2 linked regions of the Nothobranchius furzeri genome follow. The protein of the gene in region 1 binds, or shares a complex with, the protein of each later gene. Links are inferred from orthologs where the notes say so. Each region holds a gene or a part of one and is shown on either strand. Other genes may lie near its edges.

Region 1 (4,390 bases):
GCAAACCTCTTCGACTCGCCTACAGGAGGTCTAATTTACACCCAGAGCAGCTGGGACAAACCGGAAACAACCTTTCAGCTGTTCCAGGTTAGGATGGGACCACCAGACCGCTGTCTGTAGGTCCCAAAGCTAGAACGTGCAGCAGCTCACGCCACAGCCGTCACTCATCCCAGTCCCAACCTGAGAAGAGCTCTTCTGCTCTTCACTGGCCCGACTTTATGTCAGCAGATTTTACAGATCAGTGAAAACGTTAAGATCTGATCTTTGCTCCGTGTGTGTGTGTGTGTGTGTGTGTGTGTGTGTGTGCGTGTGCGTGTGTGTGTGCGTGCGCGTGCGTGTGCGTGTGTGTGTGCGTGTGTGTGTGCAATTTTTACATATGAACCAAGCTAAAACTGATTCACTGGCTCATCACTTTTATTGAAGTGCGTTAGAGTTAGAGCGCCATAGCTGAGATGGTTGAAAGGCTCTCCGGGCGTCTCTCCGCTGTGAAGATAAGATCCAGGAAGGTTCGGGGCGGCTCCGACCGAACTGCGTCCAGCCGCGGACCGGATCACAGACCGAAAACCAACAGCTCCATTTAATGAGCATGATCAACGAAGCTGCTTCTACGAACCACGGCCTCATTAACCTTCTCCCTCGAGGCGGACCTCCTTCACCCCTAGATGCTGATGATGGCTTGTGTTGTCATGTCGGACGGGATCTGCAGCTTTCACTTCTGCATGAAAATGTTATTTTAGAATACAATCAAGTAACGAGGGAAAGTATAAAAAGCAAATCATTCCTGGTTTTAGGGCAGGAGGACCGAGACAGAGGCTCAGTTCTGCGATGTAACAGAACCGTTCTGCTGCAGGTTCGGTACCAAGTGGAACTAATTTTGTTCTGGTTCTGGTTCCGAGGTTGTTCCTGTGAAGTTGGCTTCAGTCATCTTGGAGTCCACAGAGGGGACATGGAGCGAGCTGACAGACGGAGGTGGAGAAAACCTCACCCCAGTTCTCCTTAACTCCTCCTGCTTCAACGTGGTGGTCCAGGTGAGACCTGCTGGTCCAGTAGGAGTCTGACATAGTGTGCTGTCAGTTCACTTTCATACTAGTGAGATGGTGCTCCTAACCCGACCCCTGATCACCTGTCCAGACCTGCAGCTTATAGTGAGGACACTTTTCTCCCTTTAACCACAGTTCCTGTAGTAGCTACTCAGCGTGGCTTGACACAGGTTGGGTGGTGTTCCATTAACACTGAGAAACGGCTCTGGTGGGTGGGCTCGCCATAAAGCGTGGGGGTGTTGCGCTGGGCCAGTCAGCAACCACATTCATCTGAATTAGCATTTTTTCCATGACTCAGCACGCATGGAAGCAAGACCTTATCCAGAGATTAAAAACGACTGAGGTCCACGTTCCATTGTCCCATCCACATTAGGAAGTCGAGACCAAAATGAAGACGACTGCAGTGCGAAAGCATTCTTATTTTTTATTAAATACAAAGCAGTAAAGTCATCTGGACCTCGGCGTCCTCGGTGACGGACAGTCTGGGGAGGCAGCCTAGAACACGTTACTGAAGGAAATGCTGTGAAATGGCAACATCCCAGTGTCGGTAGGTTCTAATGGAACCATGGCTTTTGTGACCATCAGTTTGTTCAGAGAACTGATGAGGAGCTGTTTTAGTACCTTTAACTAATCAGTAGGTGTTTGATTTGTCTCTTCAGGTGGTCTATGTGCTGAAATATAACCCAGCTGGTGCAGTGGTGAATGCTTCTGTGTCTCTGGTTCTTGGACCTGTCCCTGAAGCCGCTCAGCTGCTGGATCAGCTGTTTCAGATCCAGTTTATTCAGGTACAGTACCCCACTGGGTCTTTCTGTGTCCCAGTAGGATTCCTGGCTCATCAAGTGACATGCTGACCCTGCAGGTAACCACGGCTTGTGTTTTGTGGAAGCAGGGCTGATGCATGGAGGATTTCCTTTCTCAGTCTAAGTCTTAAGTATTCAAATGAACAGTTGGAAAATGTCTAGTAGTGGACTCAGTGGTCTCCTTTAAAGAGCAGCCGAACACACATCTGTTCAGACGGGTTTTCGTCGGAGAAGGCTTAGTAAAACCCAACAGCGCCACCTAGGGTACGGCTCCCTAGGAATCGCTAAGCCCTTAACGCCATAGGCCAATTCACTCAAGAAGTTCAAAGATGGCGTTGTTCCGACGTTCAAGTTTCATTCATAAAAGTTTAAAATCTTTCTCTGAAGTCAAGAGACTTCATCAAATTTAACCGCAGTTGGATCTTCCCAGGTGGTGAATTAACTAAAGGAGAGCAGTGGGCATCCCACCGCCTCCAGGACACCCAGGAAACAGTGCCCACTGAAGACAAAAACAAAATCCCGCCACCACAGCAAACCACACAGGGGGGGGGGGATGCTACACCGGGGGAGGGGAAGAGCACCAACTACCAGCAGTCTCCAACTGGGAGCGAAAGGAAAAAACTAAACTACGCAGATATAAAGAGAGGCATTAAATACAGTCCTGTGGGTGGAGGAGTGTTGGTCATCCATCTGAGGACTCCGCGTTGATGGCCCACTCAGGTGCCTGCCTGCCAAGACTCTCAGCTGTTTGGGTTTCAGCCACACCACAGCTGCTTTTGGTCCCACAGCTCTAGCAGGTCAATGCCATTAGCTCGCCGTCCATCAGACGTCCCGGCGCCATCCTAGCCTACCACGGTGGCTCCTTTGGCCCTGTAATGGCTCTGTAAGCGTTGTCCCAAGCTGGCTGCTCCTCAGTTGTGCCCCCTCCTCATGCACTACTTAGGGCAGACGGAGAAGGCCCAAGCTCTGACCCCCCCCCCCAGCTTGTGGAAGGGAGGGATTGGTCACCCCATGCTGATGGGATGGCAGTAACCAAAAGCCTGATGGAGTAACAGCAATCAGAAGCCTCAACACACCAGCTGTGGTGAGCCAGGAGGCCACCAGGGCCCTGATTGGCTGGCTCCATAGTCAAGGGGAAGTGACAGCAGGTGGAGCAATCCGCTCCACTCTGCCACACATAGAAAAGGTACAGAGAATGGAGAGAAGTGATGAAACTTACTGTGGTGTCAGAAGCCTGACTCTTACTTTGATGACGTATTTGGACATCGGTGCGGTCGTGATGTGACAACGCCGCCAGCTGCTGGACGTTTAGCTCATCTCTAAGTCACTTCTACCTGAGAGCACTTCATCTGACAGTTACTCCACAAGTAGTCTGGTCTGGCTGCATTCTTACGGATTTGTCTCAGTACATTTTTCCTGAGAACTTTTATTCTAAGGCCGCTCAGTCAGATGTTTATTTATTTTTTATGAAACCTGATACTTTATTCTCTATGGTCTGGTGTTTGATCTCATGTGTGACAAAGTTTTCCTGAGACCCGAGGATGTCCTGTAATGCACATTTAAGAGACACGTTTCTGTCGTTCCACAGCTACAGACATGTATCTGGTAACGAGTGAATCTAGTTTTTAGTACAGAAAAAGCTGTCCAAAAAAACAAGTCACACGATAATGCTGACAATCAGCTAAAGGCGTTGTCTGTTTCACTTGTTTATGTAAAGGAGGCCGGTGGAGAAGTGGCTGTCCATCACAGTGGGAATCCAGGGTACGTGGTTGGACTGCCTCTTGTGGCGGGGAAAAGGACAACAGAATATCCTTTTTTTCTGACAATGATGGATTTCTCCGTACGAATCAGACAAATCTCACTTGAATAAGATTTTATCTCACAGACACAAACCATTTCACTTCAGAAAGAGGGAACTATGCTCTGAAACGTTCCAGTAGCCAGAAAGCATATTTAGTCACTCTTTTACACAATATGTTGCTGAAATGTTGCACAATGGTGTGCTACAAAAGCACCTAACCCAAACACAACAGCAGTGGGAGGAGCTCTGCCCTGCAGATTTCAGCTCTGTTCTCCTGCTTAGACACACCCGAGTCAATGATTGAAACACAAGTCTGTTATTGATGTAATGCAGGTGTGTTGGTGTAGAAACAGAAACCGTGCAGGTAGTGGCCCTCCAGGGCTGAGCAGCCTTGTTTTGAACTGTGCTGTTTAATTACACCAAGTGTTGTTTAAGGGGGCCCTTTACTCATTTGTAATACATCTGCAGTGATCGTTAGGAATGAAGGCCTTGTGAGATGGGTGGGCACTCAGATGCATCAGTTTCCACACAGAGAATTCAGCCAGAAGGTTGTAGCTTCAGACGACAGGATCTGGAGTCTTATTTCCTGATATTCAGACAGCTCTCCTCTGATTGGCTAACAGCAACACAACTCTACCACAGACTCTGTTTGCTCTGCAACGTTGATGTTTTATCTCCAAAAATAACACAAGCCTGGAGGAGTTCTGCTGTGTGGTGGAGTTGCTAATGCTAATGTTAGCTTCTACTAG
Region 2 (5,128 bases), about 44 Mb from region 1:
ATAAACAGCCAGTGCCGCACAGGGAAGCAGGATGGAGAGGGACATGCAGGAGGACAGAGAACGCTCACACAGGTTCCCCTTCCAGCCTAGACGACGACACAATGCACACCACTCAGTGAGATGGTCTATCTGCTTAAAGCAGAAAATAACCTGCTTCCATTTCACTGAAGGGCTCCCACAAACGGAGGCTTTTAACGGCAAGAGCACAGATGGGACGACCCAAACATTCTCCTCAATTTTTAGAAGCACATTTATGTCTTCCTTGGTAAAACAGGAAATGAAATAGAACTTGTGTAGATTCTCATAAATGTCACTTTGTGATGATGATTAAGTTTGTTTGGTATTTTTTTGCCTGCTTTCTGTATGCTGTGGTAATCCTCAGACTGGTGGATTGGTTGGGAAAGTCATTGAACTGGTTGTGGTTGTTGTTTTGTTTTGATTTGATTTTTGATATTTTTTCCAAGATTTGACTTCAGATTTCATGTGGTACGTTTGGGAAGTGCGTAGCTTTATATTAAAACCAGAGGATCCAAGCCTCTTTAAAAACTTTATATAGCTTTTATTTTTTATATATTTTTAAATCAATTGATTTCAGTATATTTAGACACCTGTTGTACTTGTTGCTATAAAACGTCTCATAAACAGTGATGACTGAACATGTTTCAAACTGGTTAAATTCATTAAGTTAAAATCAGAGCTGGTTTGGCTGCTTAGTCTTGTATCAGAGGTTTAAAGAGTTTACAGTAAACATTTCACTTCACGAGTTCTTCTCAGTAGCTCCTGCTGGATGACGTGTTCAGACACACACGTTCACACAAACTGAGACACTGACTTCTATGTTATAACTAATATAACTGTTCAGCTTCAGTTTTAATGATTGTGTTCAGTTATTTATCAAAGACAGTCTGGTGCAGGATTTTCACAGGGATTTAAAAACAAGTCCTTACATGTGCTGTAGAGCCATAATTAAATACATGTGTTGGGAGAGTTGATCACTGGGTTTCTGTTTTATTCCTCTTTTTGTTGTCATGGTGACGCAACAGGGGCCACATGGGTGCAGGTGGTCGCAATCAAAAGGAGCTGTCAGTCTGTCGCCTGGTGGTTTTACAGAGGAGGGATGGGTAGCCGTAGTTATTGTTGACCATTACAATTCAGTTCGTCTTACTTTGTTTACATGGTCACGTTATGTTTAGGGATTTGACCCAAATTAAGTTAAAGCCACCTGTAACAGTAAAAAGCTATAATAAATGGAGAAATGCATCCCATCTCTCTGTGGGTTCATGAGAAGCTGACAGCGCATCAAACAAATAGACCTGGGGCCTCATTTATCAAGCTTGCTTACACACAACACGGGGTCGGAAAACTGCGTAAGGAACTTTCCACGCAAACTTTGGGATTTATGAAAGAAAACTTAGCAGGAAAATGTGCGCAACTTTAAGTTGACTAAGGACCTTGCTTACACACATGTTGGACATGGAGAGCACCTGCAGTGCTGCCGAGAAGGATAAAATTATGAAATCCTGCAGCATTATCACTTGTACTGCTTCGTTTTCACACAGACAAGACCCCCACATGCACACACACACGCGCGCACACACACACAGCCTAAAGCGCAGAATACGGAATGCAGAATATCAGCAGGGGGACAGATCAAGACAGTGTGAGCGTCCTGTCACCGTGACCCGATTGATCATGCGCCCTGGCTACTTGTACAGGGGAGATTTCTGTTTGGGTGGCTGGTTAGCGTGCGTGACTTTCACCTGGGAGTCTGGGGATCGAATCCTGATTGGACAAAGTTTTTTATATCCGCCACAGATCTCTCTGAAGAATTCAAAACATTGATGGCTTCAGCAACATTGTGCCACTCCGTGGAATTTCTCTTGTTTTGCAAAAGCACTTCCTTTCATTTCTCCACCTCACCCACAAGTACCTGAATTTCTGCTTGTGAAATAGCGCTTCCTTGATCTGCGGTCGTGATCGAAATGCTGCAACAAGCCAGCTTATGTATATGCATGAGATCCACAAGGCACTTTGCATTGGCTATTTATGGCAGTAAGTGGCTGTGGTGAGGGCGGGATGTGACTAAAAAGCAGCTGAGAAACATTCTCGTTAGTCTCCGATTTATGAAGCGGAGATTGCGTGCAGCTGTGCGTCCTCCATGTTTGATAGATCACAAACCTGCTTGGCGTAAGTACTTTTTTTTTGCTGAGCTTAAGTACGGTTTTATTAAGGAATCTACGCAATGTCTGATAAATGAGACCCCTAGACCCATTCTCTGCCTCTATAGTGACTGTGGAAGTATGTGGTCACCCGGAGGAGGTGACGTATACATGCTCACAGAACTAGTAAACACTGATTTCTAAATACTCATGTTTGCTGTTTCTGTTCTTTACCATAAAAGATCCTCAGAGTCTCCAAACCGAGGAAGAGAAGGAGCAGAACCACGTCCAGAACCAGATTGTCTGATGGGTACGGCAACAAGATTCCTGCACAGACAAAATGGACCACATCTCTTTTTGGTTTCCACAGAGAAGGTTTCATCAAGGAGCTGTTTGGTTGCCAGGTGTTATCTCATGAACACTGAGGATTTATTTGAAAACTAAAGCAGATGAAGGCACAGTTGAGATGTGATTAATCATGGTTCCTCCTGAGTTTATAGTTTCTGCTGTTGTGAAAGTGGGAAATTTGGTAAATATGTCACAGACCTTTATAAATGAACATGAGGATCTCTGCCAGGTAGAAGGCAGCAAAGTACCAGCTGTTCAGGTACAGGAGCACCTGCAGAGGAGTGGATGAGAGCTGTACGAGAGACGGTCAAGGATAACAGCAGCAGGTAAAACATGAGCTGCCAGTTATATAAGGATACAACAGGCTGGCTTCCTGCAGAAGAGACAGAACCAAGCTCTCATTAACATCTGCAATTAGTATGCTGTAGGCTCAAAATCAGCATCAGTAAAATTACTGACTTACTACTGATGGATAAAATAGTAAAAGAAAAACAGTAGGGCTAAATGATGTAACTAGCTCTAAATGCTATTTATATAGAGAGAAAATCACTCATCTGGATCTTGCATCTATAAAATAATATTTTTGTTTACGTAAAAAAGCACGAAATACGTGTTTTCCACAATAAAAAGATTATTTGTTACTGCGTAGCTTTTAGGAGTAATACGCAGTAACGTGTTCGCTGATAAGTAATGTGTTGATTTTTAGGTCATCGCAGTTCGAGCAGACGCTTAGCTTCAGTTCACAGACAAGATAAACCTCGGCTGCCGTTTTCTTTAGCTTTTCCTCCAAACGGAAACGAAAACGTTACATTTCCCTTTTCATTTGGGTCCAAATAAACATCGCGACAGATTCAGACGGCGGACTTTTATTCGGTTTATAAGGAACAAACAACTGCATGAAACTCACCAGGCGCCATGTCTTGATTTCTGGTTGCTATGGATACCATAGACTTAGAACACATACACGCTGCTTTCTTTTATGTAATTTCGAAGCCGCCATATTGGAGAGGGAGACGGGCGAAGCAGACTCAGGCTTTTTGGAACGGCTTACAGCTAAAAGCCAGCAGATCTTTTACTACTCTAATCCCAATCCATACTCGAAGCATCAGTGGTACGGAACATCTCTGTTTAAAATTTAATCCATCCACACCGGTCGCAGTGCAGAACATTTTAGGCGCATCTCAGAAGTGACTCGCCTTCATGTTTTCTATTTTTTAAGATGTATTCAGATCATCACCCGTCTTCATTTGGTCAGGATGACCCTGAACAGTCTCCATCAGCTGCCTGCACTGCACTACAGACACTAACAGCAGGATTAAGACAAATCCCGATTCATTTCAATCTTTAGTTAGAAACGTGACGAAAACTAATTTTGTTTAATTGGTGTCTAACTGAAACTGGGCTTTACCTCTGTTTTGTGTTCATCAAAATATTTTTATTTCATATAAAAATTGTTCGTGATTAATAATCAAGTAATTTAGAAAATTTAGGCTATTTTTTATTTAGGCCTTTTTTTGTTGTTTGTTACTCATAAAATGTAATACAATCACCAGGGTAATCGATCGTTTCAGTATACTGAGCTTAAGATAATTTTGTGCTAGTTAAACCAAATCAATAAGAATGTATTGTTTTTAAAACTAAAAGAAACCAAACTCATTAGCTCAAAATTATTCACCAGTTGTATGTTTTTTTTAAATATATATTGTCTGTTTATTCCGACACTATTGTAATCGTAAAACGTTTAGGCTTGTAATGAATCAAAAAAGGAAAACTATATTTCACGCCATAAATGCATTATGCAGTCTGAGGATTTCAGTGCAGCTTCTACATTTTACATGTCTGTGTGCTTCCGGTCGCGCTGGTTTTTCTTTTTCGGTCCTCTTCATCATAAGGGCTGCACTACTGCCCCCTTTTGGATCTATCGAGTTTCTACAGTCTTTCACGTGCACCCGTGGATTAAAAACGGGTCTAATGTGTATGTCGATGGTCTAAACCTGTTTTGTTTTTTGTGTTTTCTGTAGAATATATAGTTACGTTAATAAAATATCAAATCAAGCTTTATTATTTTTCCCACAAATGAATCTATTATTCATCAAATAAAGAGCTAAAACAAAACAAAATTGGGTTATTCTATTTTTCATCTGAAGTAGCCTATTGGTTTTCTTTATAAATTCAAATTCATTCAGTCTATCATTTATCACCCAAAGATTGCAGGAGAAAATGTTTAATTGTTTATTTATGAAATTGTATGTCTGTTGTCGGACAAAAGAATAACCATCACGTTCAAATAATGATCACTTTATACAGAAAATCAATCTATCCGTTTTCTGAAACTAATCACATCCCATTTCGATCCAAACCAAAAAATCGCAGAGGGTTCTGTAAAATCGTTGAAAGCATTTTAATTCAAATAAGGGCCAAGGTGTCAAAAAAACGGCAATATCCAGCATGCATCAGCAGCGTACTGATTGGCCAGGACTTTTCGAGGGTTTACGTGGCACTGTTGTTCCTGCGCATGCTCAGTGACAAGTCTGTCCCGGCAGGAAGATGGTGTCGTTGCGGTTCAAGATGCAGCAGTCGTTTGTGTTTTCAGTTTTATTCCTGAATGCTTTATACATCTG

The links. Proteins that work in one complex are often made in the same cells at the same time.
Region 2: tectonic-1 (region 1) and tmem216 share a complex: the UniProt entries of both Homo sapiens proteins name them as parts of the tectonic-like complex. The link is inferred for Nothobranchius furzeri from reciprocal best matches to the Homo sapiens genes TCTN1 and TMEM216.

Annotation. Positions count from the first base shown.
Region 1 is NC_091741.1:110,006,096-110,010,485, forward strand, and holds part of tectonic-1, read left to right. Parts: intron 1-896; coding exon 897-1,028; intron 1,029-1,699; coding exon 1,700-1,825; intron 1,826-3,557; coding exon 3,558-3,646; intron 3,647-4,390. UniProt on the Homo sapiens protein: Component of the tectonic-like complex, a complex localized at the transition zone of primary cilia and acting as a barrier that prevents diffusion of transmembrane proteins between the cilia and plasma membranes.
Region 2 is NC_091741.1:65,724,674-65,729,801, reverse strand, and holds the start of tmem216 (transmembrane protein 216), read right to left. Parts: upstream 3,492-5,128; 5' UTR 3,470-3,491; coding exon 3,415-3,469; intron 2,881-3,414; coding exon 2,867-2,880; intron 2,800-2,866; coding exon 2,706-2,799; intron 2,487-2,705; coding exon 2,394-2,486; intron 87-2,393; coding exon 1-86. Other genes in the region: tmed9 (transmembrane emp24 domain-containing protein 9), read left to right, coding at 5,055-5,128. UniProt on the Homo sapiens protein: Part of the tectonic-like complex which is required for tissue-specific ciliogenesis and may regulate ciliary membrane composition.